Linked DNA regions of Alligator mississippiensis. The protein of the gene in region 3 interacts with the protein of the main gene of each other region in a pairwise test. Links are inferred from orthologs where the notes say so. Each region holds a gene or a part of one and is shown on either strand. Other genes may lie near its edges.

The links. The genes of interacting proteins can lie anywhere in the genome.
Region 1: the proteins of TRIM39 (region 3) and UBE2D2 interact in binary tests that used the Homo sapiens proteins (3 or more experiments, as listed by UniProt). The link is inferred for Alligator mississippiensis from reciprocal best matches to the Homo sapiens genes TRIM39 and UBE2D2.
Region 2: the proteins of TRIM39 (region 3) and UBE2D3 interact in binary tests that used the Homo sapiens proteins (3 or more experiments, as listed by UniProt). The link is inferred for Alligator mississippiensis from reciprocal best matches to the Homo sapiens genes TRIM39 and UBE2D3.

The regions. Positions count from the first base shown.
Region 1 is NC_081832.1:44,786,647-44,797,622, reverse strand, and holds the start of UBE2D2 (ubiquitin-conjugating enzyme E2 D2), read left to right. Parts: upstream 1-6,974; 5' UTR 6,975-7,296; coding exon 7,297-7,320; intron 7,321-8,142; exon of another isoform or gene 8,143-8,167; intron 8,168-10,976.
Region 2 is NC_081825.1:163,316,329-163,326,749, forward strand, and holds the start of UBE2D3 (ubiquitin-conjugating enzyme E2 D3), read right to left. Parts: upstream 4,003-10,421; 5' UTR 3,912-4,002; intron 3,893-3,911; exon of another isoform or gene 3,812-3,892; intron 3,470-3,811; exon of another isoform or gene 3,336-3,469; 5' UTR 3,192-3,335; coding exon 3,168-3,191; intron 1-3,167. UniProt on the Homo sapiens protein: Accepts ubiquitin from the E1 complex and catalyzes its covalent attachment to other proteins. In vitro catalyzes 'Lys-11'-, as well as 'Lys-48'-linked polyubiquitination.
Region 3 is NC_081834.1:53,843,591-53,854,142, reverse strand, and holds the start of TRIM39 (E3 ubiquitin-protein ligase TRIM39), read left to right. Parts: upstream 1-5,260; 5' UTR 5,261-5,353; intron 5,354-5,449; exon of another isoform or gene 5,450-5,571; intron 5,572-5,642; exon of another isoform or gene 5,643-6,167; intron 6,168-10,069; 5' UTR 10,070-10,162; intron 10,163-10,552.

The sequences.
Region 1 (10,976 bases), on a different chromosome or scaffold from region 3:
AGGACCTAACAGTCAGTCTCATTTGTGGTGAAGGGCAAACCTTGTCAGCCTTGATTTTGCCAGTGATTGGTTATTTTTGGCTTGGGAGTATGGAGCAGTGTAGCTTTTCTTTTGTAGATTGTATTTTTAAAAAGTGAAAGAGGCACTGAGAACTCAGTATATGTGATTATTTTTTAAACCAAACTAGTTATAAAAATAATTAGAAAGAATGATGTATTGAATAAGCATGTGTTTTCTACTTAAGCGAGTGTTTTCTACTAGGTTGGCGGATCTCCTCCGGCAGGCTTTAAACTAGGCTCGTCGTGGGGAGGGGAGTACGAGGGCAGGGGAAGCTGTGGACCACCAAACCATGTGGCACCCACAAGGACAGCCCAGCCTGAAGGAGGAGAACATTGGAAACCTGAAAGCCATGGGGAGACCAGCACTACAGAACAGGTAAGAAACAAGAAGGTAAGAAACAATGGGCCCCTTGGGACTCGGAGCGGGGGGGCAGCAAAGGCACCAGTCGCAGGGCTCAAGTGCCTATATACTAATGCTAGGAGCATGGGGGAACAAGCAGGATGAACTAGCGCTCCTGCTTGCACTAAACACCTATGACTTAGTGGGGCTAACAGAGACCTGGTGGGATTCATCCCGTGACTGGGCGGTACATATTGACGGCTATAGATTGTACAGAAAGGACAGGTCGGGGAAGAAAGGGGGGGGGGGGGGGCTGCACTTTATGTCAGTGAGCAATATACATCAACCCTCATCAAGACAGAATCCAAGGTCGAGGAAGTAGAAGGATTGTGGGTTAGGCTACATGGGGGGCAAGGAGAAAGGGATTTGGTGGTAGGGGTCTGCTACAGACCCCCACACCAAGGGGAAGAAATAGATGCGGGGCTCCTGAGGCAACTCTCGGAGACCATAAAAGCTAGAGGCGGTAGTCACGGGGGACCTAAACTACCCGGACATCTGCTGGGAGACGCAGACAGCAAGGTCCCATCGCTCACGCAGGTTTCTAACCTGTGTACAGGACCTCCACCTGACACAGGAGGTGCATGGTCCCACTAGGGGGAATGCCATACTGGATCTGGTATTGGCAATGGGAGATGACATGATAGGGGACCTCCAGATCGGTAGCCATTTGGGAGACAGTGATCACCTAATAATAGAATTCAACATAAGACGTCGAGTGGGTAAGTTAACTAGTAGGGTGAAAGTGCTAGACTTTAGGAAAGCTGATCTCAATGCACTCAGGCGATTAGTCAAGGACGCACTGCAGAGTAGGAGTTTTGAAGGGATGGGAGCCCAGGAAGGGTGGCTGTGCCTTAAGGAAACGATCCTTCGGGCACAAAGCAAGACAATCCCCGAGCGAGGCAAAAAAGGGAAAGGGGCCAGGAGGCTTCCATGGCTGACCAGAGATATCCAGGGCAGCCTAAGGGCCAAAAGGGGAGCACATAAAAAGTGGAAACAGGGTGAGATCACTAAAGTTGAATATACCTCCTCTGCTCATGCTTGTAGGGAGGCAGTTAGGCGGGCCAAAGCTACCATGGAGCTGAGGATGGCAACCCAAGTAAAAGACAACAAGAAATTGTTTTTTAGATATATTGGGAGTAAAAGGAAGGCCCAGGGAGGAATAGGACCCCTGCTAAATGGGCAGAAACAATTGGTGACAGACAGGGGGGACAAGGCTGAACACCTCAACGAGTTCTTTGCCTCAGTGTTCCTAAGTGAGGGGCACGACAAGTCTCTCACTGGGGTTGTAGAGAGGCAGCAGCAAGGCGCCAGACTTCCATACGTAGATCCTGAGATGGTGCAGAGTCACTTGGAAGAACTGGATGCCTTTAAGTCGGCAGGCCCGGATGAGCTCCATCCGAGGGTGCTGAAGGCACTGGCCGACATCATTGCAGAGCCACTGGCGGGAATATTCGAACGCTCGTGGCGCACAGGCCAAGTCCCGGAGGACTGGAAAAGGGCCAATGTGGTCCCCATTTTCAAAAAGGGGAGGAAGGAGGACCTGGGCAACTATAGGCCAGTCAGTCTCACCTCCATCCTTGGTAAAGTCTTTGAAAAAAATTATCAAGGCTCACATTTGTGAGAGCCTGGCAGGGCAAATTATGCTGAGGGGAAACCAGCACGGGTTTGTGGCGGGCAGATTGTGCCTGAGCAATCTAGTCTCTTTCTGTGACCAGGTTACGAAATGTCTGGACACAGGAGGAGGGGTGGATGTCGTATACTTAGACTTCAGGAAGGCCTTCGATACGGTATCCCACCCCATACTGGTGAACAAGTTAAGAGGCTGTGATGTGGATGACTACACAGTCCGGTGGGTGGCGAATTGGCTAGAGGGTCGCACCCAAAGAGTCGTGGTGGATGGGTTGGTCTCGACCTGGAAGGGTGTGGGCAGTGGGGTCCCACAGGGCTCGGTCCTTGGACCGATACTCTTTAATGTCTTCATCAGCAACTTGGACGAGGGAGTCAAATGTACTCTGTCCAAGTTTGCAGATGACACAAAGCTATGGGGAGAAGTGGACACACCGGAGGGCAGGGAACAGCTGCAGGCAGACCTGGATAGGTTGGACAAGTGGGCAGAAAACAACAGGATGCAGTTCAACAAGGAGAAATGCAAAGTGCTGCACCTAGGGAGGAAAAATGTCCAGCACACCTACAGCCTAGGGAATGACCTGCTGGGTGGCACAGAGGTGGAAAGGGATCTTGGAGTCCTAGTGGACTCCAAGATGAACATGAGCCGGCAGTGTGACGAAGCCATCAGAAAAGCCAATGGCACTTTATCGTGCATCAGCAGATGCATGACAAATAGGTCCAGGGGAGGTGATACTTCCCCTCTATAGGGTGCTGGTCAGACCGCAGTTGGAGTACTGCATGCAATTCTGGGCGCCACACTTCAAGAAGGATGCGGATAACCTGGAGAGGGTCCAGAGAAGGGCAACTCGTATGGTTAAGGTCCTAGAGACCAAGCCCTATGAGGAGAGATTAGAGAAACTGGACCTTTTCAGCCTCCGCAAGAGAAGGTTGAGAGGTGACCTTGTGGCTGCCTTTAAGTTCATCATGGGGGCACAGAAGGGAATTGGTGAGTATTTATTCACCAAGGCGCCCCCGGGGGTTACAAGAAATAATGGCCACAAGCTAGCAGAGAGCAGATTTAGATTGGACATTAGGAAGAACTTCTTCACAGTTCGAGTGGCCAAGGTCTGGAACGGGCTCCCAAGGGAGGTGGTGCTCTCCCCTACCCTGGGGGTCTTCAAGAGGAGGTTAGATGAATATCTAGCTGGGGTCATCTAGACCCAGCACTCTTTCCTGCTTATGCAGGGGGTCGGACTCGATGATCTATTGAGGTCCCTTCCGACCCTAACATCTATGAATCTATGAATATCAGTAATCAGGACAAAGATATGTTCTTTCAGTTTGATCACTTAGACCCTCTGAATGTTTACATATATGCCTAATATTAAGCATGAGAGTAGTTCTGTTGACCTTGTGATAGATGTATGGAATTGGGATCTTAGCTCCTTGTTCACCACAGGCTCATTCACTTCTTTCAGAAGCTGTTTGTAGTCACAGTAGTGCTTACTTTGGTTGACCTCCCCCACACACCTGTAAGGGAACACACACACATCCTTTCTTTGGAAGGCTTAGGAGATTATAAAATTAATTAGAAACATTTACAGAGTTCAAAAACAATAGAACTACAATATTTATAGTGATAAACTGAAAAATGTGCTTGCACTGCTGGAACCTAAACACAAAAGCATGAAAAGCAAATCTTAATCCAAAAGCAAATCTAATGATGAGGTGCAACCGAATAGTCTCATTTCATTCCGAGGATGGCAAAGGACAGAAACAGCAGAGACAGTGAAAATGTTAGACTAAATTAGGTTCCTATATATTTTGTTGTAATAATCTAAGGTATTGTTATCAGCAGTTCACATACTTGTAAGACTGGTTTAAAGGGTGTTTTTTTTTAAATATTCTAAATCCATTTTTAGCAACCTATAGGAATGATTAAGGATTTTTTTCTTTAGTGTCCTTTTGACTGTTTCAAACCTTAGCTAATTATTTCTAAATATTCAATTCTAAAGGGAAGTTGCTGTTTTGTTTTCAATTTTACTGCTATTATAATTATTAATTCATGCTTTGATATTGTAGCTACCTAAAGAAGAGATTATATGGCTCAGGTACAGTGACACAACTCTTCACTTTGCAGGTGGTGGTTTGAATCCAATCCTGACTGGAAGTGCTCAGAGGTGACTTTTGGGATGAAAGCTAGATGACCACTGGATAAAAGCTACATGAAATGCACAGGTGTGCTTGCTTACCCATCACAAATTAGCATTACAATCTATGCTTGTGTTAGTATTCTCATAGAGGAGGACGGTAGCTGAATAGGAAATGAACGGCTCTCTACGGTGACATGTACTTTTCAGGCCAGGGTTGTGGAGCAGTGGCAGGGCATTACCTAAAAATCTTGTCCTGCTGGTAATCATACTGTAACCACTAATAGTGTAGAGAAATGTATTCTTTGGGCCTGTCAAGACTGGTGTTTTTCAGGAGCAGTACATTTACTTACGCAATTTAAGAATTGGTTCTCTTTAAAACACTATTGTTATCTTGACATCTTCAATAAGCCTGCCACTTGACACATTATATATTATTTTTCGCTATCACAGATAAAACATAGGTTATGTGATTGTTCAAATCATTAATATAGAACTGTAAAATGATCCAAGTATGCTTTTACCTAAAACTTGGTATTTTAAGGTTAAAAATATGTAATTGTAACTAGGCATTACAGAAACTTTTTTTCTGAGCCTGCTAAGGACAATTTAATACAACTCATTTTACAGTGTGTGGCCAGAAGCATTTTTTACTGTATTTGATGCACAACCAGGGTATTTGTTTTCTCAGGGGCTTCAGTTATTTCAGTTGCTTTCACTGTTTTTCTGGCAAAGTTTCATCTCTACTATCTCTCTATTTTCAAGAAATGATGGACAAGAGCAGATATTGTGCAATGAAGTCAGTGGCAAAACTTCCAATGATTTGTGGTGGAGGAGGCCACATGCCCTTTGCAAGGTGAACACACACTTTCATACCTCTCTGAACAACTTGAAAATGTACTTGTCTACTCAGGTGCCCAGCTAAAGTTCACAAGTAGAACCCAACATAAAAACATCCAGTCATGTTCACAGAGCTCTGACCTACTCACTGCTCAAGATTAATCCACTACTGAAGATTAATCATTTAATAATAAATCTGGATGCAAGTAAATATAGAGAAAGCAACTTCAAAGAATGCTTCGGCCTTGAGCAAGGGGTCGGACTAGGCGACCACCCGAGGTCCCTTCCAACCCTTTCTATGATTATTAGAAACAGAAAGCACTCTGACAATGTCCTTTCACACAAATGTTGCCTTTCTTTTGGTAGTGTGATGGAAAACCAAAGGGCTAAAAGCAGTAGAAGTTTGTGCAGCCTTTTATTAATGCCACTCTTGTTTACCCCAGCAGCAGTTCATCTAGGCTAAAGGATGTATGATGTTTGGGACAGGCATTCCCTTTTTATTGGTTGATTAGAATGGGAGTCATACCATGCTAGGCAGCCAATTGAGGTTTTAGGTACTATTCAAATAATCATTAGTAATGGTAGGAAGGATGAACGTTTGAGATGAGACCAGGCATCTAGCTTGCCTCTGGCAAATTGTCACCTGACCCTGGGAAGAAGTGCCAGCCAAAACAGTGGTATGTGACAGCAGCCTGCCACTGAAAAGGCACCAGTCCTGAATGGAAATCAGGGATTAAACATGAGACCTGTCCAGGGCCAGTTCTTAAGCAGAATGGCTCAGAAACATGGCAAGATTCAGTTGGGTGGTTTTTTTGTTGTTTTTTTTTTTTTTTTTTTTAAGGGTAGCAAAGCTTGTGCAGTTTGTCATACTCTGAATTGTATTCGATTCCCCAAGTTTGTGTATACAGCATGTTGAAAATGTACACCTGGATTGCATCAAGGCAATAAGGGAGTTCCCCCATTGTTTTGCCAAACTACCTTAGTTGCCTGGGTCAGCGAAGGGATGACACAACAACGATTCACCTATTGGCTCCCTCCAACTAATGAGACACTTCCTCAGCTTTGGGTCGGCAGATTTGTTTCAACAATGGGCCAGGACCATCTCCTTCCCCTCGGGGACCCACCTGCAGCAGCCCACTAAGGGCAGCAAGCAACCAGTTTACGGCAGGTAACACTTAACAGCATGGGTCGTCCTTGGCCAGAAGTCATAGGAAATCGAGCAGCAGAGCCAGCTGAAGTGGATGGCTCCCGAGTCCCCCATCGAAGTGTCTGCTCAGGTGTGACCAGGGGTGCTGGACAACGGGACGGGCCTGCAGTGACCGGGGGAAGTGACGAGGATCCTGGGCAGAGCCTGGAGGCAGCGAGAGGCTGCAGCCTGCGCCTCGGGGTGCCCGCGCGTGCAGAGGGGAGGCCCAGCCCGGCTGGCAGGGGCCTCGGAGCCGCCCGCCCCCAGGAGGCGCCACCCACGCGGGGCCCGCGCCCCGAGGCGCCTCCCGCCTGCCACGCGGCGGCTTCGCAACCCCGCGGGCCCCGGCTCTGCGTGGCGCACCAGCCGGGTGAGCCGCGGCCCCGCGGAACGGGCCGGAGGCACAACACCTCCCACCCGCCCGGCTCGGGCTCCCGCGGACCTCCAGCCCCGCCCCGCCCGCACCCAACGCGACGGCCACACAAAGTCTCCCACCCCTTAGCCGGAACCTCTCTTCTTCCCTTCTCGCGAGAAGTCATCTCACCCCCCTCTTCAACAGCTCATATCCTTCCGCCGCCGCGCTCCCCTCCCCCTTCTGGAGAGTTCTGCGTGCGGGGGGAGGGAACAGAAGTAGTCCCCGTGCCCGAGCGAGCCCCATCACCAGGTGCGGCGGCCCCTCCGCCTGGCCGCCCCGCTGCTGGCTGCTGGGCTCGCGGCGGAGTGATACGCTCGCAGGCAGTAGGGCATAAAGGGCCCGCGGAGGGATGCGCTAGGATCTGCAGCACCGAGGAAGCGCTGAGCGCCGCCGGGGGAGCTGAGCGCGAGGCCCGCCCGCCGCTGCCGCACGGACACCCGCGTCTCCCGCGCTCCTCCCCCCGGAAAAATAATCCCAATCCCCTCCTCCCTCCCTCCCTCCTCCCTCCCCCGCAGCGGCCGAGCCCAGGGCCCCGCGCGCCCCTTCTCCGCGCACCGCCCGCGCGCACCCGCGCACACACCGCACTCTCTCGCTCTCGCACACACACAAACTCTCTCTCACACACACACACGCACACAATGGCGCTGAAGAGAATCCACAAGGTAAGGGCCGCTCGCAGGGGAGCGCCGCCAAGGCCTGCGCCGGGCCTGGGCCTGGGCCTGGGCCTGAGCCTGAACCCGGGCCCGCAGCTCGGCCTGGCCGCGCCGCGCCGGGGTGGGGGCGATGCCGGCTCAGGCTGCTCCGCTCCGGGCCGAGCGCACCTGCCTGCGGCGGCTCCGCTCCCTTATGTAATGCGCGGCCTGGCCCGGCTCCCGCCGGCGCTTGCTGGGCGGAGGGGGCGCCGCGATGCTCTCGTGGGGCTCCCGGGCGCGGGGCAGGGCCGGCCGGGCCTTGCGGGCCAAGCTGCCCCGCGGTGACCCGGCCCGGGCCGCCCTCCCCTCCCCCCTTCTTGTCTTAATTTTGCTGTCTCGGCCCCCGGGGGATGCGGGGAGCAGCTGAGTCCCAGGGCTACCGAACCCAGGAGCCCAAATTTAAGAGCTGCAGGACCAGGGGAATGGTGATATTGCCAGAGGAGAAAGCGAAAGCCCAGAGACCACAACCGAAGCCACTCTGAGGCTGGCTTGTCTCGCTCCCTCCCCCGCGGAGGTCTGGGAACACTTTTTGGGCAAAAGAAATGCCCTACAGCCCTAGCTGGGCCATGGTTAGAAGTGCTGCTTGGGCTTTCTTAATGATTTCAAAGAAATTGGTTTTTGGGGCAGTCTTCCTACAACAGCTAGAAACATGTCTGTAGATCACAGTTGTTTTGCTCTTTATTTGGAGGTCTCTTCGTGGTCAGCGCAACTCACTTCAGTTTTACCTGTTTAATTTATTAGTGATCAGTGACCTAGAATGAGGTGGTGACTCTTTTTTTTTTTTTTTTTTAGAAGTTCCTTTGTAGTATCTGGTGAGGTAAGCTGATGCCTACGAAAGCTCTGATTTACTGAGTCTATAAGGGGAAAATCTGCCCTGCCTTCTGCCCAACTCTTCTTATGCTTTGGAATAGGAAGCATCTTAGAGTCTTAGAAAGGCCCTAAAGTTTTGAAGTTTCCTTTCCACTGACTGATGCCGAAGGTGCTTTCTCTCTTCTTTTTGACCCTTGAATTAATCATTTTCATAGGAGTTGCTCTTCAGGAAAGACTTATCTGTGTTCAGGAATAACTTGTCAGGTGTAATATTTTTTGTTCAACTTCATACTAGTTTAGATCTCATCCTAAAAGCTGATTGGTTAATAGGTGAAAAATAATTCCTCAGCATTTATAACTGTACTGTAGGCATGACTTCACCTCCTACCCCTTCCCCTGATGTAGACATGGTTTATTTCTTTTGCTAGTACAGATTTTCTTCCTGGGGTACAGTTGAAAAGTCACTCAGCATGCCATAAGGTATAGTAGGAAAATAACTCCTCTTGATGTTATAAATTGTACCTACGCTAGGGGGTTGGGGGAGTTGCCTAGAAAAGGCCTGCTACTATGCTTGACTGTTAAAAATTGAGCAAAAGTACCCAATACGAATCCTCAGCTTTATGAGGAAATGTGAATGCATATAGCAGTTGCATCTTATGAAGAGCTACTGCAAAACAACAAGCATATCTGTAGCATTCACTAATGTAAAGAGGTGCTGTAGCAAAATGTAACATTTACTTGGCTACTGGCTAAATTATCCTCATCTTCACTTCTTTTTAATTCTTTGATTCATCTTCCTTCTCTTTAATTCTCAGATTGAAAAGTATATTTTCATTAACAAGCTTCAATATGTAGTGTGTTAATTTTTTTAATATGGTTTGTTTTATTAGGCCACAGTGGCAAAAGTGGTCAGTTACTGGGAGAGGAAGTGATCATGGTTATCAATCCATTAATTTTAAACCCATTCATTAAGTCAAAATAGGATGCAACTTGTATGCCATTCTGAACTGGCTGTTAGTTTCATTAGAATAGTCAATTGACATATTTGCAAAGAACTGCCCATAAAACAACTTTGTTTTTGTAGACCAGGAACTATACTAAAGTGCCATGTCCAATCTTTTTCTAGAAAACTGGCCTGACTCGTGTTTTCTTGTACCAAGGCGAACGTGCACAATTCTTAGGTGCCCGTTGCTGTAGGACCAAATAAAGAACAGGATCTGTTAAAGCCATCTATCCATCTATTAAAGAATTTCTTACAATTTAGGTAGACAAACATGGCATCCTTCTTCGAAAGGTGTGGCTTTTTGCCCTGAACTCATGACTTTGAAGTCTGAACTCCTGTGCGCAAACTTCTTGTGTGGTTTCTAGTCTGAGTTACTTATTTCTAGCTGATGAAATAAACAAAATATGAATCTGTTAGCTGATTTGGGGATCTTTGTGGTAATTTCTGTTCTGGTGTACTCAGCACCAGTACTGAATCAAGAATGCAGACTTTGGACTGGCTGTAACTACAGGACAGTGTTCTTAAGCTTCCTTTAGTATCTTTTATTGATCATGTTGAAAAGCAGCTTGAGTGCCAAATACAAGCCTTTTGCAAAATGATACTAAGATTAAGTTTCATATACATTTAAGGACTTATTTACATGAAGAAATAGATGGGCATAATTATATCTGCTAGGGCTGTAATTTCCTGTGTGGATGCTTGTTTCAAAACAAGTCATCACAGTTAGTGATACCTGTACATTTCACTAACAAGAAAAGCCCTGAAATGTCACATGAAAACCATTTCTTATTTTATTTTTATAAATGTTAGGCTTTGGGTGGGCAACCTGGGCATGAGTGCCACAAGTGGCACAAGTAAGCCTCTGTGTATGGCATACAGGTGATCAGGGAAGGGATTGGCAGCACAGCAACAGAAGGTAGAGCAGGAGATCAGGCAGAGAGCACAGGGCAAGAAATGGAAGACGGAGCAGCAAATTGATGCCCTTCCTCTTAGAGTGGTATTGAGGGGCAGGGGTAGGGCTAATGTGGTATGTTGCCAAAAAAAGTGCCCCCCCCCCCCTCCCCCCGCGCTATGTCGGAGGAGCATTGTGTTCTGTACAGGTCAGCTATTTTATATGCATATTACTTCTTTTGACTAGTTTAGCTTTCAGCAGGTTTAAGTTCCAGTTTTACACACCATTGCGCTGCTCTAAAATCCATGTTGATCTTGTTAACATGACTGAAATGATTGAAATAGTTCTCTGCAGTGTACTTGGGTCTTTCAAAATCTCCAGGAGTCCATGGCTTCTGCAGAGTTGTCAGGATTTGAGAAATACATAGAGAAAATTACTGTGAACTTTACTAGTATAACTGTCAGGGAACACATTTTTGATAAACAGGAACATGTGGGATACTACTGTGTGTGTGAGGGACTTCATGCAATCTTGATATTTACCCCAAGTTGGGCCATAGTGTGGCTTAATTCAGTATGTTTCTAAGAATAATACCTTCCTTCAATTTCAAAAGTACTTTTAAGAAACTTTTAAAAGAGATTTTTTTATAAAGATGGAATTGTGAAACTGGAATATTTTAATTTGTTCATCATGCTGGTCTTGCTTTCAGAGATGAGAATTCCACAGAATTATAGGACACCTAGAGAAATTATATAAACCAAATATTAGGCCTAGACCAGTGGTTTTCAACTTTTTTAGACTCAAAACACCTCTTGGACAACGTTAGATCTTAGCTTTCACTCTTATTTTTCCACAGTAAAAGAAAAAAAGAGAGAGAGAGCAATGTTTCTTTTGCAGAGAACTCGGACCACAACAGGTCAT
Region 2 (10,421 bases), on a different chromosome or scaffold from region 3:
AAAAAATTCTGGCACATAACATAAATCTGTGATGGAACCAAACAGGCCAGTTTTTAAATCTATTAATTTTAGAAGTGGTCATTATTAAAAACAAAATCTATTTTAGACAAGTTCCCACTAACCTATCCTGTTTTCTGGATAGATTCACAACACACATTTCACAGAGGAATACAGTCCTATAAACAAATGCTCAAGTACTCTGAAACTGAACAGGACTTTTCAATAAGAAAAAAAACCTATTAAAATTTATAAATTGTCCATCTCTTCCCAAATATCAGAAGCCATTATTTTGGTCACAATCCCATATTTAAAAGAAAAATAATTAACATCAAAATTGAATGTTCAGTTTTATGATACTATGCTTCCAGAAACACACCTGAATTTGAAACCACCACTTGCATACCAAATTTATTCCAACAGAAGTTCACTTTTACCAGCAGAGATGGCAGTTATGCTGGTATGTTGGTCATACATCTTCACCCCCCTCAACCAACATGGCTATGCAAAGAGAGCCTTTAACTGAAGACCTGGCCTCAGTGACCTTATGATATCTTAACAGTGACCTAGAACTGCAAAATTCAAAACATTTTATAGTATGAAAATTTAACTGTTAGCAGAAGCGCCAAATCAAAATCAGATGCAACAGAACTTTTATAGATAATGAGATGTCTTATCCAGAAACAGTCATTTTAAATTTCTACATAAAAAAAAAAAAAGATGGGGAAAGCAGCGTTTCGCATATCTGAGGACACCCAAGTTAAATGTTTTGTTTCACTCTGTATCAAACACACTTGAAAGACACGGACCACAAGTCAACCCAACCAAATCAACCATGAATGAAAATGCCTCTGCCTTGTGCATCTTGCATGTCACCTGCTGCAGAAAGTGAACTTTAGTCTTGGCACGTAAAATTTCCAAAGACTGCAAATCAGACTAGATGGAGTCATCATAGCAAACTAAGGTCTTAACTCACTTTATACAGGCCTGGATTAGTGCCAAGAAGGGTATAAGGAAGCACTGAGTTTCAAGGTCTGGAGATTCCACTTTTCCAATGACACAACACCGATCTCTGGCTCTGGTGGGTAGTGAAGCAGATCCTTAATTCATATCATTCTCATTAAGAAACTCTTTTTGCTACACTTTATTGTCAAACCTGAGCCATTTGTATTGGAAAGCACTGCTTTTGGTGAAAGCAGCGTGCAGTCTTAGTACCTGGATAACTGGATACTTATAAACCAGGCTGACCAACTTCTGAGGTACTGGGGGCCGCATGAGTCAACCACAGGTCCCCTGGGTCACATGCTACATAGATGTTTCCCCCCTTCCTCCCCACCACTGCACCATGCACCTACTCAGGTGAACCCTCCCCACAGCTGCACTGTGCACTCACATGGCACCAGGTTCACCCTCAGCTCCCCAAGCCAAACTGCACTGCCCCACCGCCTGGGGCAGGGATAGGAAGCAGGAGATGGAGAAAGGAGGGGGAACCCAGGGACTCTGGCTGTGTTGCAGTCAGAGCAATTGATGTGTCAGCCCAACAGAAGCCCAAGAAGCACAACAGCCCTGCTATAAACTTTAACTTTCTGAGATAGAGAATCTTAAAAACAAAAGTAAAAAATGCAAACAAAACATCACTTTACAGGTATACCTCATAACTTAAGTCTGGTTATACCAAAACTAAAAGTCCTAAACAGTGGCCTTGGATATTGTATAACCGATTCCAGTAGTGGAAAAAACCAACCAAGAACAAGACACTGACCTGAGTAGCTGACAGTCCCTGCTCCACAAAGCTTATAATCTACATAGAGTTCTTGAAACAAAGTTATGTTTTATTTTTTTAAATGTTTTAAATATCAGATCTGCTACACATTTGAGAGCCTGCCTTGGCATACACCTGACCATAAATTATTCTTGTGAACAGACGCCTGAGTTTCAGATGCATTTTACTGCAAGTTGATGACAAAGCACACCAGGGAGTCCCTTAGCCTGTTTTAATAATATCCACTAATGCAAGGGGAACAAGTTTTGATGGCAGATTCACCAGGAATTGTTTTTCTGAAATTATTTAAATACTGTAGCTGTAATACAAGTCCACACTTTCTACTTGCAGTGATTTTAAGAGCTTTTACATTTTTAAGGGCTTTATTCAACATTAGATGCGAGGTATAGGATACAAGCTTCATTTGTCCTTATTTTAGTCAAACTAGTCAATCAAGACACCACTATTATGATGTGTAACATCAAATAATGACAGCACTATAGTACTTGAGAAGTGCCCAAGAAAAGGCTTCCAGAATATTCAGGATACTATGATTTTCTACCTTCTTGGCAGGCTCAAAATGAGGAGGAGCAAATATTTCTGCCTCCCCACCCCAAAATTTAGCATATTTTAAAACCATCCTGCTTCAATCATGGGATACCTCATTTGGGAACTTGGCTGCTGCACTGCACAAGAACATCCCTGAAACAGGAGAGCATCACAGAGCTCCCTAAATCCCACTGTGCCACTAAAACTTTTTCTCTGGAAGTGATTTAAACATATGGCCCTATGACTTTTTTTTCCGCATTAGCTGTTAAAAAATATTTATACACACACGTATATCACTCCACCCAGCCGGATTGAGCAATGCCATCCTCCGTACTGCACACAAACACTTCCGCCCCTTGTGAAGGCAGCGCAGGCTCTTCCAAGGCGAGGAACACAGGCCAGGCCAGAGCGGGGTTGTTGGGGGAGCAGAACAGCCAGCAGTGCCCGGGTACCGCAGCTGCCGCGCCACAGCGGCCGGGCGTGCGTGTGCATGGTGTGTGTGCGTGTCATGTTATTGCAGAAAGCCAGAGATCCCGGAAAGAGCCTGAACGGGGCGAACCCGCCGCCATCTTACAATGCGGGAAAGAAGTTACAGGCCAGAAGCGAAGGGCGAGTCGCACGGGGTACAGGCCCCGCCGGCCACGGAAGAGCCGGAGCCCACAGAAAACGGCCCCACCCTGTAAAATGGGACCCAAACGGGTGGGGGGAGATGCCGTGGCCTCAACGAGGGGCCGGCCAAGGGGAATTGCTGCCGACACCTCCGTCGAGCCCCGGAGTCGCCGCAGCGACATCGGCGCCAGCCCCCCTCCCGGGACCGAGACAAAGCCGCAGCCTCTCGCCCGGCCCGGCCGCTCCTCACCTTGTTGATGCGTTTCAGCGCCATTGTGGGTGCGGGTGCCGCCGCCGGGCCTGCCTCCGCCTCCGCTTATGCTCCGCGCCGCCGCCGGGCTCGCGCTGGGTGACGCGGCCGCTTCTCCTTCCTCCGGAAACAGCCAGGGGCGCCCGCACGGCGCAGCCCCTCCCGCCGCTGCGGACACAACGCGCCCGCGAGAGAAGCAGTGGTGAGGCCGGCCCGGCCCTGCCTTGCCCAGCCCGACCCGGCACGAGAGCGCGAGTGCAGCCGCTGCACCCGCCGCCGGTGCAAGGCCGAAAGGAGGGGGAGGGGGAGCGGGAGGGGCCACGGCTCGTGCAGGCACCGCCCCCCCTCCCGCCCCTCCCCGCCGCGGGGCGGGCCCAGCAGTGGCCGCCAACGCCCCCCCTCAGAATGGGGGGGGGGAAACGGCGGGGGGGGGCCAACCGCCGCCGCGGGCGGAGGACTTTGCGCACGCGCGGGGGGAATGTGAGGCTCCGAGCACGCAGACCCACAAGGGCGCGGGTGACGCGCTGTTCGCACGCTCATGGGGGGCGGGGAAGGAGGTCTCGCGAGAGCGAGCGCCCGCGCTCCTGTCCCTGCCCAGCGCTGCCCTGCCTTGACCTGGCCGAGGGGAAGAGGGGGGGTCGTACCTCCACCCCTCGCAGGAAGAAGCTTGTACGGGAGGGGCAGTCCCGGCTCCCTGGGGGAGGGGGAGGGGGAGATCGGCTCCGCGACTCTTGAGACACTCACGGAGCGAAGGCTCGTCCCGGCTCCCCGCGTGCCGCCACGAGCTAGGCCCCACCCCCTGCGTGCGTGCGTGCGTCAGCGTGTGCGGGAGCCCAAAATGGCGCCCGCTGCCGGATCTGCGTTGGGAGCGGCGTGCTCGTATCCCTCCGCCAGAGTGCTTTTCCGAGCGAGAGAGTCAGGCGGAAGGATGAGGGGGGACGGAAGTGGATTAGTTCAAACGGGGAGGTGCCACCTGCAGAGCGGTCGTATGGTCTCAGGTACTAACCTGAGGGCGGGTTCCTCGTATATGTGGCCTGGGAATTGCTTTGCCCGCACGTGTGTCCGCTCTCAACTTAGTGCGTGATTTACTAGTGAATTGTGTGAGACACGTGGCGAGGCAGGGGCTCCAGACTAGGCAGGAAGCCAGAAATGGGACTTTAAGGTAGAAGGAGGCACGCACAAGGCCTCGGGACTAGAGAAGACGTGATGCTTGAGGTGTGGCTTATTTTTTTACAGCCTCACCAGAGAAATGCCAAAAATGCTGAATTGCTATAACTTCCATGTTTGAGAGAGAGAGGTTGTAACCAGATGCTCCCTCAGCCTGACAAAAGGAGTTTGTATCCAAAAGCGTGCAAAGAAGAATTTTTCCAACTGTTTGGTTTAATAACAGATGGCAGAATGGCCCAAAGGACCTTGTCTGAATAATGATGATAAACCCAGAGATACACTGGCTCACCTAGTGCTGTTCTACAGGCAGCACCATGGTTTTCAACGTTAGATCCATGGGATGCTGCAGATCCAGAGGATGCGTCAAAACTTGTGGGACTCTTTTGGGGAAGGGGGTTTCCACACCCATTGATTATCTGGCTTCATCAGTGGTGGTGCTCTGTCACAGTCTCTCAATTCTTGGTGTAGGCAACTGGAAAAACAAAAATCCATTAACGAAGGTGTTTTCAGCTCTGAATTGTGTAATTTCCTTTGTGCAAGCTTAGTTATGATTAGATCTCAAAGGAGGAGCCTCAAGGTACTTAGGTAAGGCAGCAACCACGTAAGAAAGTAAAGACAAACAACGGGAAAGTTTAGAGTAGGGGACTCTTTCAAGGCAATGAAGAGAGGTTTAGTTATTAATAAATAGTAGGGCTATGCGAAGCTTTGGTGGCTGATTCGATTCGGCCTGATTCAGCGACCGAATCTCTGAATCGAATCAGGAGACCCTTTAATCTCTCAGAATTGAATCAGAAGCCTCTGATTTGATTTGGAGAGATTCAATTATTTGGCCACAGATACAGCTTTATATGTTTTTTCTACATACCTTGAGGTACCAGGTGCAGGTATTGAACACTGAGATGGTGAGGTGGATGGAGCATCCCACAGGAGGGGTCCCCCATGTGGTTGGCAGCAGACTCTTAAGTGGACCAGAAGTACATCCGGTACACTTCCAGGTTCGCTGTGGAGCACACAGGGGACCCCCCCGGCCCCCTGGCTCGGCAGCTGGTGACTCCTGGGTCTAAGGGGGCACCCAGGGTCCCCTGTGGCGGATCACTGAGCCGGGAGGGCACGGCAAGGTCCCCCACGCGCTTGGCGGTGGACCTGGAAGTGGACTACCTCTGAGCATGTGTGGGACCCCCCCACACGGTTCCATGGGACACTCCATCCGCCCCACCATCTTGGCATTCACAAGCTGCGCCTAGTACTTGAGGTACGTATAAAACGTATATAAAAACACAAAACTGTATATGGCCTAATCGCTGATTCTCCAAATCAGAATTGAATCTTCAGATTGGGCCAAATCAAATCGGGATGGTGATCTGAATCAGTGAACCAAATCACTGTCCCCCGAATCTGGCAGAATCAGAATCCGAATTGAATGCTATCTGCTTTGCACACCGCTAGTAAATATAGTCTTGAGAAATAGCAAGGATACATAATTGAGAAACAAAGCCAAGCAGCCATATTATTTTATGAATCTGAGCTTGTTTTTGTTGTGTTGACTTTAGTATTACTGTAATAGTACTGTCAAACATAAGAAAGATTCTACTTGTTGCAGAGGATATGTATCTTGTATGATAACTATTTTCCATGCCCAGTGTAGGTCTCATATCATTCCTGTTATCCCACTTTTAAATCAGTCTCTATACCAGTGGTTTTCAACTTTTTTTTAAGGAGTGTACCCCTTCTGGTGGGTACCCCTCATGGATTGTACCCCCTGGATGGGCAGGGGGGTGTCCCCCTGCGGCCAGTTGAGGGGGGGGGGCTGGAGCCCCACTGCTGGTCAATGAGCAGCACGTAGCGGCGCACTTCCAGGGTATGTGATGGCAGCACAGAGAAGCGGGGGTATTAGGAAGTCCGCTGCCATGCTTCCCAAGTACCCCTGCTTCTCTGCGCCACTGCCATGTACCCCCTGGGGTCTTCCCAAGTACCCTGAGGGGTACGTGTACCCCTGGTTAACATCCCCTGCTCTATACCATATAATTACGATATTCCACAGAACTGACCTGAACCAGTCTTTTATTAGTGTTGACAGCTTTCTAAGCCAGGGGTTGGCAACCAGTGGCCTACAGGCTGGATCTGGGCGGCAGAGCCCAGCTCGTAGACATGGGGCATCAGTAACACTTGGTGGGAGAGGCTTCTTCCTTGCTACAGCAGGGAGGAACAGTGGCAGTGGTCAGGTCCTAGCACTCACCTACCTGCATGTGATCCAAGATGTGTTGTTTTGGCCCGCAGCCCAAAAAGGTTGCCAACTGCTATTTTAAACCATTAAAGCACATTGTCATTCCTTAGAGGAGGTAGACAGTTGTGACTGAAGTGCCCCACAGTCCCTCTTAATTAATTTTCAGACTTCATGTGTTTCCCACCCTTTTTTGACTCCAAGGGTAAGTGGGGTCCTGCTTTGACCAAGGGGCTACACTAGATGACCTCGTGAGGTCCCTTCCAGCCCTGTTTTCCTATGATCCTAAGTCTTAATGACTCTGCCAAACTATTTCAATTGGCTGTTGGACCACACACAAGCAATCACATTTTTCATGAAAAATTATAAAATGGTCCCTTTCTGAAAGTTGACTGGCTTCTGAATAGCCCTATTTGGGATAGCAGACTTACGTTGTTAATCTTTATGTAACATAGTAAAGAGTGAAAATGGAACATGAAAAAAGTCATGCTACTTAAATTTCTTATTTCAGTATTTATATTAAAAACATATGTTTTCAAATCAAGTGCATGGAATGAAATCTTGAGAATGTTTAATAAAATAATTACTGAGCACACAATGTACATGGTGAATTAAACCTATAACTAACAGCCACAATTTAAAAAAAATGTAATGTAAAACACTGTTAACACAATGCTTGATAATTTAAATGCACTAAAATCATGAATATTTTTATTTATACAAGATTATTCAGACTGAAAACATGTCCTTCCCTTTCCCGCCCTCCCAATTAATTTACCCTTCAGACTAATAAGGAAACTGTACTTTTGTTAACTTTTAAAATAATTAATATTTAGTATTTAATTGATAATAGTGAGAGCACTCACAGGTAATGGTTTACAGGGTGAGGCTTAATATAGATTTGTACTTAGCACAGGTGAGTGGTTGCAGACCTTTGACATAAGACATTTGATGACAGGCAGCAATAAAAACATGCTAGTGGGAATAGTTACAATTTCTGGATTCAATTAAAAGACAGTCTTAATAAGCTGTTGGGTAGTGGGATTGTTATTCATGTAATTTGGCTAGTCCCTATATGCCTTTTCAGCCTGCTGTAATTGTTATTAAATCTGCTATTAAATCTAGAAATAACCTTTGATTCCCTCCCCTATCCTCTGCCATAAACAATAAAACAAATAGGTAATGGCTTTAATATGACAGGTGGCTTAGAGGCCTCTAGCTCATCATAAAGGAGTTCCTGAGTACCTGCTCAAGAGATTTTTCTTGTACCATCCTACCACGTGTGGATTTTGAAAAGGGGTTATAGATGGTGAGGTGCATCAACCCATATAACACAATACATATTTTTCTACAGTTAAAAATAAACTAGAAGCTTTACTACTATGCTAGGGGCCTAGGGCTGTATTATTCTGTTTAAGATTGAAGAAAAAACAAATACAACTCATAGGAATAAGTTAAAAACAATTTGCACTGCTGTGAAACAGGAGCTTCATTACCAGAAGCAGCTAACATACAGCAGAACTGCAGAACAAAAGCTAGCTTGATTGGTAGAACATCAAGACTATTGAAAAGAAGAGAGGGTCATTAACACCTGTGGAATGAAAAGTTTAGAAGGGATCAAAAGGCAACTGAGTGTAGTGAATGAAAACTGAGTGCCTTCTCGACCACGGTAATGTGGATGGCTGCTTCTAGTTCCAATGTAGCTTCAGGCCCTTGTAGCACTGCTAAAAAAGGGAAGTTTAGACAGAAAATATGTCCACTTAATAGTAGAAGCCACAGAACAACAGAATAGGCTTGCAACAGTGTTGGTTCAGACATCCAGAGTTTGTTATGGAAAATTGTTGATAGAATAAAAATGCTGCAAAACACAACAAGAAGATGGGTTTGTCACACTAGATCACTCAACTAGTCTTTTCTTGATTTATTTTTATCCAAAATTCCAGAAAATTCCAGTTCCTGCTAAAAGATTTTCTGAGTTTAGAAAACAACTCTTGTGTCAAAGGACCAGAAATATGGCAGAAAATGTTAAAGAAACATCACTAAATACACAGCATGGAGTACCCAGCAACTGATTGGGCTTGTTTTAATGTAGGGATAATGTATCTGTTTTATTCATAGATGTGTGATCCAAAGTCTGTTTAAGTCAATTGCTGCCATTGTGAAACAAAAAAGATCCATGAGGAAGAATGGACAATGCAGTTTTTTGTAAATAAAAGTTATGCCATTTTTGTGAGGTAAGACAGTAGATAGCTAAGCTGTAAAAGATTTTTGCATGTTAGTGGGCTCCCCTTGAGTCCATGACAACCCTACAGCAAGGTGTGCCATAAAAGTGGTTGTAGGTAGGAACAGGACTAGTGTTTTTGTAATTCATAGACTTACCTCTGAGAGGGTAACAAAATTTAGAGCACATATGAGAGGACCAAGACTGGACAAACAACTTGGAGCCACTAGCCCATGGCACCTTTACCTCAAGGGCCATCATTCCCCTTGCGCAGGGGAGGAAGAAGAGCCTTGAGGCCCACGCTCTCCTCTAGGTTCCAGCACAGAGACTGCGTTAAGCAGCAGAGGAACATGCCTTCCTTTCTCTACCTTTCCAGCTTGGGCATCTTGCTCTTCCACCGGTTTGCTAATACCCCTAGAGCAGCCAAAACCTTTCCACCTGTTACCCCTATATTACCTCAGCTGCAGTCCCTTATGATAGTTGTTTCTAATGCACTGCTTGGTCACAGCTGGAGAAGGTAATTAGGTTCTTTATTAACCCTTCCAGGCTACTGCTGTTTAGGGTATATACCAGATAGTAGGAAGTTTAAATTTCTGTTATGGAAGTTCAGTAATACTTTTTACATAGAAGGTCCCAGTTTGCTTAAATACATGGTGTGACAGTGGGGAGGAAATGGAAGAAGAATCTTACATGCCGAGTCAGAGGGAAGCAGTGAAACAGCGCTGAGAAACAGCACCAAGAAAATAGACGAGTGCTGGGGAAACCCCAGTGCCAGCATGGTCACACTTCATAAGCGTATGCCACCGGTGTTTCAAGAGGAAGAACCCTGTGTCCAGGTTAAAAACCCTCTGAGGAGATGGATGGACTGGAAGTGAGGTCCAGAAGTCCCAGGAGGGGCAAATGGTGGAAAGCAGCCTGTCGGCAGCAAGCCCACTGAGGCAGCTTGGAGGAGCCGAGTGACTTATCCGCACATTTGTCTTGGCAGTTAGGGACAGACGTTTGGGACCTGAGCTGGAAAGCTCGACCTGAAATGGAAGACAGAGAAGAGTTGCGAGTACAGTCGGGGGCAAGAGTGGCTTACAATGCTCCATTCTGACTGCGGACCCTGAAGTCAGAAGGGTCTCACAGGACAAGGACCTGGGTGGTCCAACTCCAAGATAAAGGACTATGAGAAGGGACTAAGCCCCAGAGTGATCTTTGAGTTGTGTATTGTTTTTGCTTTATACATTACCTACCTCAGCAGGCACTATAAGAGAGCATAGTCTTTGTGGACTTGGACATTTATTTAAGACCTTAAAGGTTGGCGTAAGGTGGCGTGCAGGGGAGGTGGAGCCCCAGAAGACGGCACCAGGGCTGGAGTAAAGATAGTACATACAAGGACTAAAAAACTTCCTCCCAATTTATATTGAAGACAAGTCATGGCAGGTGAGAGTAGCTCAGCCCCTGGCACAGATCTTCAAGAACTCCTGGGGCTGTGGTGACGTGCCCGAGGATTGGAAGAAGGCCAATGTGGTGCCTATCTTCAAGAAAGGGAGGAAAGTGGATCTGGCAAACTACAGGCCCATCAGCCTGACCCATCTATCCTGGGGAAGGTCTTAGAAAAGATTTATCAAAGAGGCCATTCTTAACAGACTGGCCGATGGCA
Region 3 (10,552 bases):
GCAGCTTGGGTGCCTATCCTCTGGCAAGCAGCCAGGCAGACAGTGCTGGCAGCATGGCACAGGGTGGTCTGGGAGGGATCGGGACCCTGAGAGCCACTTGAGGCAGCTTGGGTCTGCAGCCCCTGGCACAAGGCCAGACATTCAGTGCATGGGCAGTGCGCAAAACCAGACCCTGGGAGCAGCACGAGGTAGCTCGGTTCTGCATCCTTTGGCACAGGGCTGTTGGCTCTGCAAGCAACACTACAGGAGTGTCCAGGCATGGGCCGACCCCCGGTGCTGCACTCGGTGCATGAGATGGTGCACAGGGCCTCCAGTGGGCAGCAGCCCAGAGGGAGCCAGTGGCCCTGGAGGCTGCACGTAGGAGGAAGCATCTTGGCCAAGGGGAGTTGTGAGTTACTGAGTAAAAGGATCCCATGGAGGAGGGGGAGATTTCTCCTGGCTAGTAAGTGGGGCTTCTGGAGGGAGGCCCAAGGAAAGAGGCCCCCCTGGAGTTCAGAGGTTTCTTTGGGTTTTGTGGAAGGCCCAAAGGGCACTAGGGATTTTCCCACTAGTCACTGGAGTGCAGCCAAGGCCTCAGGACCAGATGGGCTTTGGGGCATTTAAAGGGTTAAGTTTTTTTTAATGCTTATGTGCCGTATATTTTGTGCATGCTTATATTTGTAAGTTCACAGTTCATTAGAGTTTAGAATGTATGATCTTTGCTGGGGCCCTGCTGGGACCCTTCCCTACTTCCTGCCTGTACTTGCCTGCAACTCCAGTGGTGGTAAACAATCACATATATAGAGAATAAGTTTTATAGTTACAGGTACATATATTTACATATATTATTATGTTTGTATTTATATTTATCTTTTGATGACCTGTAAATATTAATAAATTTCTATATATTTAACTTCTGGATCGGCCTGGTTCTGTAGGGAATAGAGGGAAACTGTTTTAGTCTGCAGTTTCCACCCACAGCATACCTGCCCTGCTTACAATCCCCTTCAATTAGAGAAGAGTACATACCCGAATACACCTGAGCTACAACTGAGCTCATACCCTGCTCTGAGTGGGGAGGAACAACTGGAGATGCATGATTCCTCCTGTCACCCAGGCAAGGCCCCCTTGGCCTAAGGGATTTAGGCTTCATACTTGGTTCTAGAAGGGGAGTGTAATCTTGGGTTCCAAACCTGGGGTTAAACTCTTAGCAGGCAGGTGAGTTCTAGTAGGCTAAAGCAGGGAAGTGGGATAGGATAGGATCAGAGACCCAGTTACAACCCAGAGCTTGATCACAAGGGTGACAGCCAAGCATCACTTTTCCCCAGAGAAGAAAAGGATTTGGTGCAGATAGGTGGGGAGAACAGAAAGGTCAACAACAGTTAGCCCCTCATTGTGACTGATGACAATGAACACGAACTTCTCTTCTTCCCTGGTATTGCATTTGAAGATTCCAGAGATGCAGTTGACATGGGGCATCTCCAGGTGACAGTCTCTGCACACCAGCTAACTGTCTTGAAGGGAAGGCAGAGTGGGAGGAGGGACACACACAGCCCTGTCTCTAGCCACACAGGGAATTCTGCCTCAGTCTTCCTCCCTGCCCCGCTCCTGCTTGAGCCCACTGGGCCTCACTTCTTTCCTAGAACTGGGCATAGTACAGGCCCCTCCCTTCTGCTCGGGTGGATCAATGAGTGTTGGAGACATTGTAATCGCCCCTTAAAGTGATGTCTGTGTCTCTGTGAGGAGCCACCTAAGACACAAAGATACCCCACCCCCACAAAAAAAAAAAGCACGGTGCATCTTTTTTTTTTCCCCAAATGAAGCAGTTACTGGGTTCAGTCTCTAGCACGGGGAAAGGAGGGAAGTAATCTGGATCAGAGCAGTAGGCTGGGAGCCACAATTGGGTTCTCTTCTCCTCCCTGGGAAGAGAATGGGGTCTTGTGGGTTGAAGCGGAAGAAAAAAATAGAGGTGTGCTAGCAAAGATCTTCGGCCAAACCAATGGGGTTTGGACCTGCCCAAAAATGAAGAGGTGTTGCACATTCCAGGGCTCACAACCTCCACTGCCCTCTGGGACTACTGTTTCTCATGTCACCATCAACCACACTGTGGCTTTGCACTGCACTAACCTGGAGCTGCCAACACCTGCCCTACAGGGAAGTATGAAGCCTGGTCTGCAGAGAAAGCACCCCAGCTGGTTAACTGAACAACTGCTCCAGCTCTATATCCACAATGTCATCGGACATTGGGCTCTTCACAGTGATAACCCACCATTACCACCAATGGCCACCTGCTCCTCACAGGCCGCACAGCAAAGGGACAGCCACACCTATTGTAGAAAATGTGGCAGGAAGGCTTGCAGGCAATTCCAAGTAGCTACTGGCAGCTGCAGGGAAAGGAGAGAGGCTGGGTAGCATGTATAAGATCTGTTTCCCTTGGTTTTCTGAAGTTGGTGCTTGGTGCAATGCAAGGTACTGGAAGGGCCTATAATCCTGGTAGGTGTGCACACTCACCAGGATGCAATTACATTTCTCTGTCCCACCTCAGTCTCCTGGCCCTGATATCACCCATTCTTGGCTACCTGGAGCTCATCTCAACTTTGTTCTGTTCAGACACAGCAATATCCCCATTCCTCACAGGAAGCAGATCCACACAGAGGTTACTTAACATTGCTTTACAAAGCTTGTTCTCCACAACTGATGCAGCAAGGAGATCCTGCTGGAGCACAGCCAGCTCAAGAGAACCAGAATCTTTGCTGGTGTCCAGATGAGTCCTGGACTCAGCTGTGCCTCGGGAGGGCAGAACATATCTGGCTAGTGGAGAGATGTATAGAAGGGTAGAGTCATGGTGAGCACACAGCAAAGCAAGGCCTCTTCCATCTTGTATGGGACAATGCTACAGAAACTCACACACTTTGACGTTTTTCCGGTGGTCTGTGTCACTACCCCATGTTACCCACTACCCCAGGCTACCTTCAGGCCTGCTCTGTTGTCAAAGACTCCGTACTGCTAAGAGCAAATGGGACAGGCTGCCTTAGTCCCAAATGAATGAGCCCTGAGTTGAAAGTTTGATGACAGCCCTGGGGAGAGGGTAACCCCATGTGACTCCCTCATGGGACAAGGCAGAATTGTCATTTTCCCCACAAGAGGATGAGAACCTCTACTGGACCTCCCTCCTGGGTTCCTAGTCTAACTGGAACAAATCTGTCCTGACTTTAGGCCCCACTCCCCTCCCAAAGCCAAGGACAGAAACCAGGAGTCCTTCCCCCCCCCCCCCCCCCCCGGTCCTTCAGCTTTGATCTCCTGGAGCTCATGTTTTTTGTCAGGGCTGGGCATAGAGCCCAGGTGTCCTGACTCCCAGCCCATGCTACTGACTCCATGCCTGGGGGGATTCCTTCTAGGCAGGAACTGTTCTCTGTGTGGGCAGCTCTTGCTCAGTCTCTGCTCAGTCACCTCTGTCTACCCACATTCCCAAGAAGTTACCTGTGGGTGCCAACTCCTAGGGTATTCCAGGAGGATAAAGTTCGTCCATGGCTGTCTCTCCTCTCACTTCAGACTGCAGTTTCTACCAGCTGGAAGCTCTCTCCTACCCTGCCCCAGCACCTGCCTTTGACCCAGAGGAGCCCAGCATGGCCTGAGCCCTGCTCCTTACTGCATGTGCCCTGTTCTGTTTTGTGCTTGTAGGTAAGTCCTATCAGCAGGAGCTGCACTCAGACGTGAAACACACAGGGCTTGTCCTGCTTTTGAGGTAGGGAGGGCAGGAATTGTCTCCCCATGGCAGCGTGGCTGGCACAGGGCTCCCAGGGCGAGGACAGCAGGGGAGGCAGTCCCAAGCCTGCAGTGGGCAGCCGGCATTTGCCCCCCACCGTGGACTCTGCTCGGCTCTGCTCCAGCTATGCTGCCCGGTGATGGTGGTGGGGGCATCATCTTAGGCTCCCTGGCAAAAATATGTCAGCACCTATGCTCCTTGCTTGTCATTAGCCAGACACTCATCCTGCCCTCAGGCCAGGGGCAGATTGAAGTAAGGGAGGCTGAGGTGAGTGATGCTCAAAGCAAGCCCGCTGGGAAGTAGCATAACTGAGGGGGGCAATCTGTTTCCATGTGGGGGTGGCGCAAATAGCCACTGCTGCAGCAGCCACAATCCACATGTCACCAACCCACTCTGTCCCAGGAGCCTGCGGTTACCCCAAGTGCAGAGCTGCTCTGCTACGCCTCCGCCAACACAAGGGATCAGGGCTGGCAGGTGGTTTGGTGTGGTGGCCATGGTGTGACACATGCTCATCTCATGTCTCTCTCTAGCCAATGCTCTGGGCCCTGTGTACCTCCTGAGACAAACTGTGTGCCTGAATGCTCCGGATCCCGCCTCTCCATCTTCATCATGACCCATAAGGACTGAGGTGTCTTGCTGTCCTGTTCTTGTTTCCCTCAGTAGCTCTGGCTGCAGCGCCTTCTCCCCCTTGGCAGCCAAAGGCAACAGCCCCTCCCTTTTTCTCCCAACATTATCTTCTCACCTGCCAGCTGATGCTGATCCCAGTAGCTGACCAAGTGAAACCTCATCCCATCTTGGCCCCAAGAGCAGGAGAGTAACAACCCCCACAAGGTACGTGCCCACAGCTGCTCCTGACCAGCCTCTCCTGCCTTGTTCTGTCCTATCCTGCCCAAAGGGCATCCCGTGTCCCACCACAGCCACCTCCTGCCCGTCTCCTCAGGCCTGCCCCACAGCAGGGAAGGGGGGTGGCAGAGGGCAGCCACGTGCCCAGAGCTCAGCCCTGCTTCCCTCCCTCAGGGCTGGCAGCAGACAACCAGGTGGGCCTGAAGGTAATGGGCTGCGCTATGCCAGCGAGATATGCAAGGGGACCTGGGAGTTCAATGATGGGTAGTACATGGTGTTCAAGTGCTGCACCACCCACGACAACTGCAATGAGGGCGAGCACCTGCTCGCTGGTGCCAGGCTGAGTAGGGAGGCACTGGGTTCCCCTGAATCTTCCACCTCTCACCCCACAGCGCCCCCCGGGCCAATTACAGCAGAACCCCCCAGCCCACGCCTCCCTCTCTTTTTTTCCAGAGGGATTTTTTTTTGCAGGAAAGAGGGCAAAAGGCACTGCATCCCCCCGCCCCCAATGCGGACACCACCCCAGGTACTGCATCCCCCGCCCCTTTTGGGGACATCCCCTCCCCCCTTGTTGAGGCGTCAATTACCCCCCAGCACGTACAACATCGTGGGGGGCGGGGCTCATCTTGGTACGCTCCAAAAGGGGGCGGGGGGATGACGGCTGCCCGGGATGATACTGCAAAGTCCCCGTTGCGGGCCGCCGCCGCGTCCCCCGGGCGCTAACTTGGTCCGTCCCAGGAGGGGCCGAGGCGCTCGCTGTACTTGGTACGTTCCACGTGGATGCCTTTAGGAGCGGGGGGGGCGGGACCCGTGATTTGGGCGGTTCCACAAGGGAAAGGGGGCGGGGTGGCTTCAAGTCTGGATGGGAGGTTGCTCATTTTGGTACGGTCCACAGAGAGGCGATGGGATTTGGTCCTCTCCAGCAGGTGGGCGGGGCCCGCGCATGTGGTACGGCCCGAAAGAGGGGGTCGAAGGAATGAATGGTACGGATCACTAAGAGGGGCGGGGCGCGATGGTACGGCCCGCGATGCTGGGGGTACGTGCGGGAAATCAGTGTATTCCGTACAGCCCAGGCATGGAGGAGGGTGGGGGACGCAGGCCCGGCGTGTGTGCACCTGGTGTCGTAGTTGGGTCGGGGCGGCGGCGTGTGGTACCTTCCAGGACGGCTCGGGGCGCAGCCGGTGCGTTTGGTATATTCTACTGAGGGGCCTTTGACAGGCGGGGAGGAGAGAGGACTGAGTTCCGGTCGGGGAAGGCTTATTTCCGGTCGGAAAAGGCACACTTCCGGCTGGGGACTGGCCGCGGCCTGGTCATCGCGCCTCGTCTCCCGCCTGCTTTACCCTGGTCGCTGCGGCCGCGGCCCGCGCGTGGGAGCCGCTATGATCCTCCCGCGCCTCCTGCTTTGGCCCGCGTCTCCTGGCTGCAGCGGAGGAAACGCACTTCCGGCAACGTAGCGGAGGCTTCCGGGCCCCGAGCCAGTCCGTCACTTCCGGCGCTGGGCCCAGGCTCGGCGTCCGTGCAGGGAGGAGCGGGCGGGCCGGGCCGGGCCGGGCCGGGGCTGGGGCTCGCGCGGCCGCAGGTGAGTGCGCGGCCGGTGAGCCCCTGTCCCGTGCCCCGCCCAAGGGGGCGGGCGCGGTGCCCGGGGCAAAAGTCGCCCCTGGGACGCGGGACGCGGTGGGCCCTCCCCCCCCCCCCCGGTCCCAGCGCTGCCGCGCTGTCCCTGCTGCTGCCTGTGACCCTCGTCCCAGCCTGTCTCCTCCCCACGGCTCCGGGCAGTGCCCGCGGCCGCTGCGGGGTGCTGGTTGTGACCCTGCCACCCTCCGTCTCACTCCCCTCTGCAGCATGTTCGTCTCCAGCAGTCGGCGGCTGTGCTCTGTGTCCCCCCTTCTAAGGGGCATAGATGTTTGTGGTGGGCCTCACAGTTTCCTGCTCTCCCCCGCTGCAGTTTGGGGACGTGTGCGGTCCCCCTCACTTCCTTCCATCCTTGCCCTTGTCTGAAAGATGGGTAATGCAGGGTGTTCGGTGCTTCGTAGGGGGACTGGGCAGAGTCGAGACAGATGGGGGAATCGTCTTGCTTGGACGCTGCAGGCAATTGTAGAGGAGCCCAAAGCTGCGCTGAGAGATGACACTGGCTTCCTTATTCTTCCCCTTCTAATTTTTCAGCCCCGCCCCCCACCTCAGGTCCCTGGAGGTTCTGCTTTGCTCAGACAAGTGCTTCAGAGTCACCCCCTTACAGATCAACAAGCGTCTTGCAGCATGTCAGGCTTTCTTACTTGAAGCTGCTTTGATTTCCACGTGCAAAGCCAGACTGTCAGAGCCAAGCAACATGTACAACTTAAAAAACAGTGAACTTCTCCCCGTCACCTGCACAGTTTTGATCTCATTCACTTTCCACCTTTAACATTCAGTGTTGCTCTGCAATGGCTGAGCGCTGCATCCTGCCTCAGAGACAGCTGCGCTTCAGTGCTGGGCAAGCTCTAGGGATGTAAATATCACTTTAAAAATTAGCTGTTTAGACTCTTCTGACTATATTGGTTAACCATTTAACTAATAACACATGCCTGTGGGTTGGGTTGAAGGTCATACAACGCTGGTACAGCAGGATGGACACATTGGGCTGAGGGACTCGTGCTCTAGTACCAATAAATCATGCAAGTACTCGGCCAATGTAATTTGAAAACATAATTCATTTAACTCCACCCTAGCAAACACAAACCATGTGTCAAAAAATGTTAAATGTTAACTGTAATGCATTAATGGTATAAATATAATTATTAGAGGTGCACTGATACATTGGTCCCATAGCGGATCGGCACCGATATAAGGAAAATTGACTGTATTGGCAGTTGGTTTTTTTGCCTGATGTGGCTGATAAGGTAGCAAATAAATGCCCTGTGTATGCGCACAGCCACAGTGCAGCATGCAGGCAGCCAGGAGCACAGCCTGGCAGTTTGGAGAGCAGCCAAATCGAGCTAGTAAGTCTGTTGTGAGGGAAGAGGGGTGGGGGAAATCAAGATCCCTGGGGTGAGGGAAGGAGTGTGGCTAGGGCAAGGGACAGAGAGTGACTCCTCTGGGAAGGGCAGCTCCTGTTGCACACAACCCAGGAGGGCGTTGGGGGCATGTGCCCCGACATCTGTGGGGGGCAAGGGCAGGCTGCTGCTGAGGGCTGGGGCCAGGGGTGGCACCAGGCTGTTCCCAGCAGGGGGGTTGGGCCGGGCTGTGCTTGGGGCAGGCGCCAGTGGTGCTGGAACTGGGGACTATCGCAAACTTAGGGGTGACTGCAGCCCCCCCATAGCTACCCTCCCAGCACCACTGCTGCCAGCCCTGAGCACAGTGTAGCCCAGGACTCTTCCAGGAAGAGCTTTGCACCACTCCCAGCCCACAATGGTAGCTCACCTTTGCCCCATGCAGATCTGGGGGCACCACTACCCCCCGCCATGCCCTCATAGGGTGCGTGCAGTTCCAGGAGCTACCCCCCGGACAAGCTGCTCATGGCTTCATCCTGTGCCCCACCCTGGCTGTGCATGACCTGTCCCAGCTCCACTCCCACCCTCACTGTGGGGGCAATGATCTGCCTGCCCCCCCCCCGCCTCCCCCCAATGCCTCTTCACACGCAACAGACTTACCAGCCAGACACTGCTCTCCAAGCTGCACGGCTACATTTTGGTAATCGGATCTGTATCGACCGATATGACTTGTTCAAAGATGGCTGTTGATATCGGCTCAAAAAATTTCCATTGGTGCACCCCTAATAATGATAGTTGAACCACTTAACCTTCCTGTCCCTAGCAAGCTCTCCTTGCTATGTTCTGGTAAGATGGGTATCCCCACCCTGCTCATGCCAGAGGCAACTACATCTCTGTGTTGTGAAGCTGATCTCTATGGCTGCTGACAGACATGGGGGGGGGGGTGCCCAAAATATACAGACTTTGGGCAAGCCAGATCCAGCTCGTGCAGCACCTCTTCTGATAATGTGCTGTGCTCAGTGTGGGAGTATACAGAGTTTAAAGTAATGCCCTGTTTTTTGGTTTGTCTTTTTTAATGTCTGCAAGCAGCCTATTTGATTTTTACTCACTGGCAAACTTGTAACAGTGGGACTGGGAGAAGTGTCCCTGAGAGTTATGATATAGTACATGCCTGGGCTGGATTTGGATGGAGGATTTAGAAGCAGAAGACTCTGCCACCCCTTCCAAACCCCTCCCCCCCCCCTCCCCCCCCCCCCCAACAACTGGATTTCAGGTGATCAAAAAAAATTCTGGATTTCAGTCATCTCACTTGGGGATCTAGTCATCTGACTTGGATGTTGGAAGGCAGATGACACTAGATTTTGTGTAAGTGTGTATTATTCCCATTTTACAGCTGGAAAATGAGAGTTGGGAGGAGAGGCTTATGCTTGTTTATTGACCCAGGAGTCCTGGCTCTCAGTTCCTCTGTTAAGATGTCTCTCCTCTATTCCTAGCTGTGAGAGAACCCAAGGATAAAAACAGACAACTGGCTTTAGTTTCATGGCTAAGCTTTTGTCTTGCAGCATATCTCAGACCTTACAGACTGATGGCTTAAGTCCATTGTCCTGCATCCAGTACTATGACCATGGTCTCCTTTCCAGGGCCTTTCCTTTCCATCATCTTATTGTAGAAGGCAATTGTAGAAGATGCATTATTCAGGCCATGGGCTTGTTCAACTGGGTGGGTTTGTTTACCTGGGGCATGGCTATGCTAAGAGGCATTAATGGCTTCTCTCTCTCTCTCATTGCATGAGGTATCAGATAAAGACATTTCAAAATGTAGCATCTTTTGTAACTTGCTCTGCTGAGCTGCCAGCCTGTTGCTGTTTTCAGAATGGCAGGGGGGAAAGGTAGCAGAGGAAGTTCAGCAGTGTTCCCTCTAAGCTGTGTGGCATGTACAGGCACACTCATGCCGTGCTGCCAGGCGTGCCTGTATGGCCTGGATGCTGCGCAGTTTAGAGGAAATGCTGGAGTTCAGTCTGGGGTCTTTTCAACACCCTCCCTCCCCCCCACTGCTTTGGGAGGGGTGGGTGTATTGGAGGGGGGGGGGGGGGGGGGCTCCAATTCACCCACCCCACCCCACCCTCCAGCAAGGACTGGGGAGCCCCAGGAATGAGCTCCCTCCCAGTCTGAAAACAGTGAGCACTAGCAGAGAGCCCTGGCCTTTGCTATGGGATCTGGTTGCAGGCTCCTAGCCTGCAGCTAGATTCCCCTCCCCCTGGAATCAACAGTGAACTTCTGCTTGGTCCCAGGTAACCTTGTAATGCTGAACACTTTGCAGAAATTATTCTGAGTTGCAGCTGGGAGCTGCACTTCTGCCTGCACCAGTTATTTCAAGGTCATCCACCATCGCTTATCTCCATCTGAAGTATCTGGTGCGGGCCTCCCTTGGCAATAAAATAGCTGAAAACCTATTTTATTTGCACCGTTTCTATCACCCACTTGTTTTTATTTTTCTTTAACTTTTCCCCCTGTAGGATGCATATCTATTGATGCTAAGGTAGTCTCAGAGAATCATCTTGGCTGTTAGGAAGCATCAGAGACCTGTTAGTTTCCCCAGCACTCGGAAGGTGAGTTCTCCATTCTTTCCCATTTACCTGTGGCCCCATTAATCCTCCACTAGTTTAATGACTCATCAGTTAAATGTGAACTGCATCATTCCATAAGGACCCCTAACAAAGGGAATACAAAGTACTGGCTAAGGAGCTGCAGGCATTCTTCTGCTGTGAAATGAATACTAGAGACATATTTACATAGAAAACCTTGAAAAAAATCCATGAAGTGTCTGACTTAAGCCTTACAGTTGCCTTTTTGTTCTTGCTAGCACAGTAGAGAGCCTTTTAGTGGAGATATGGAGGGTATTTGTACCCTAAAGCTTGCAATGAAGAATGTTTCCAACTATTTTAGTTGGTTTAATAAAAGATATCGGATTTACCCAAAAAATCTTGTCTGCCTAGTGG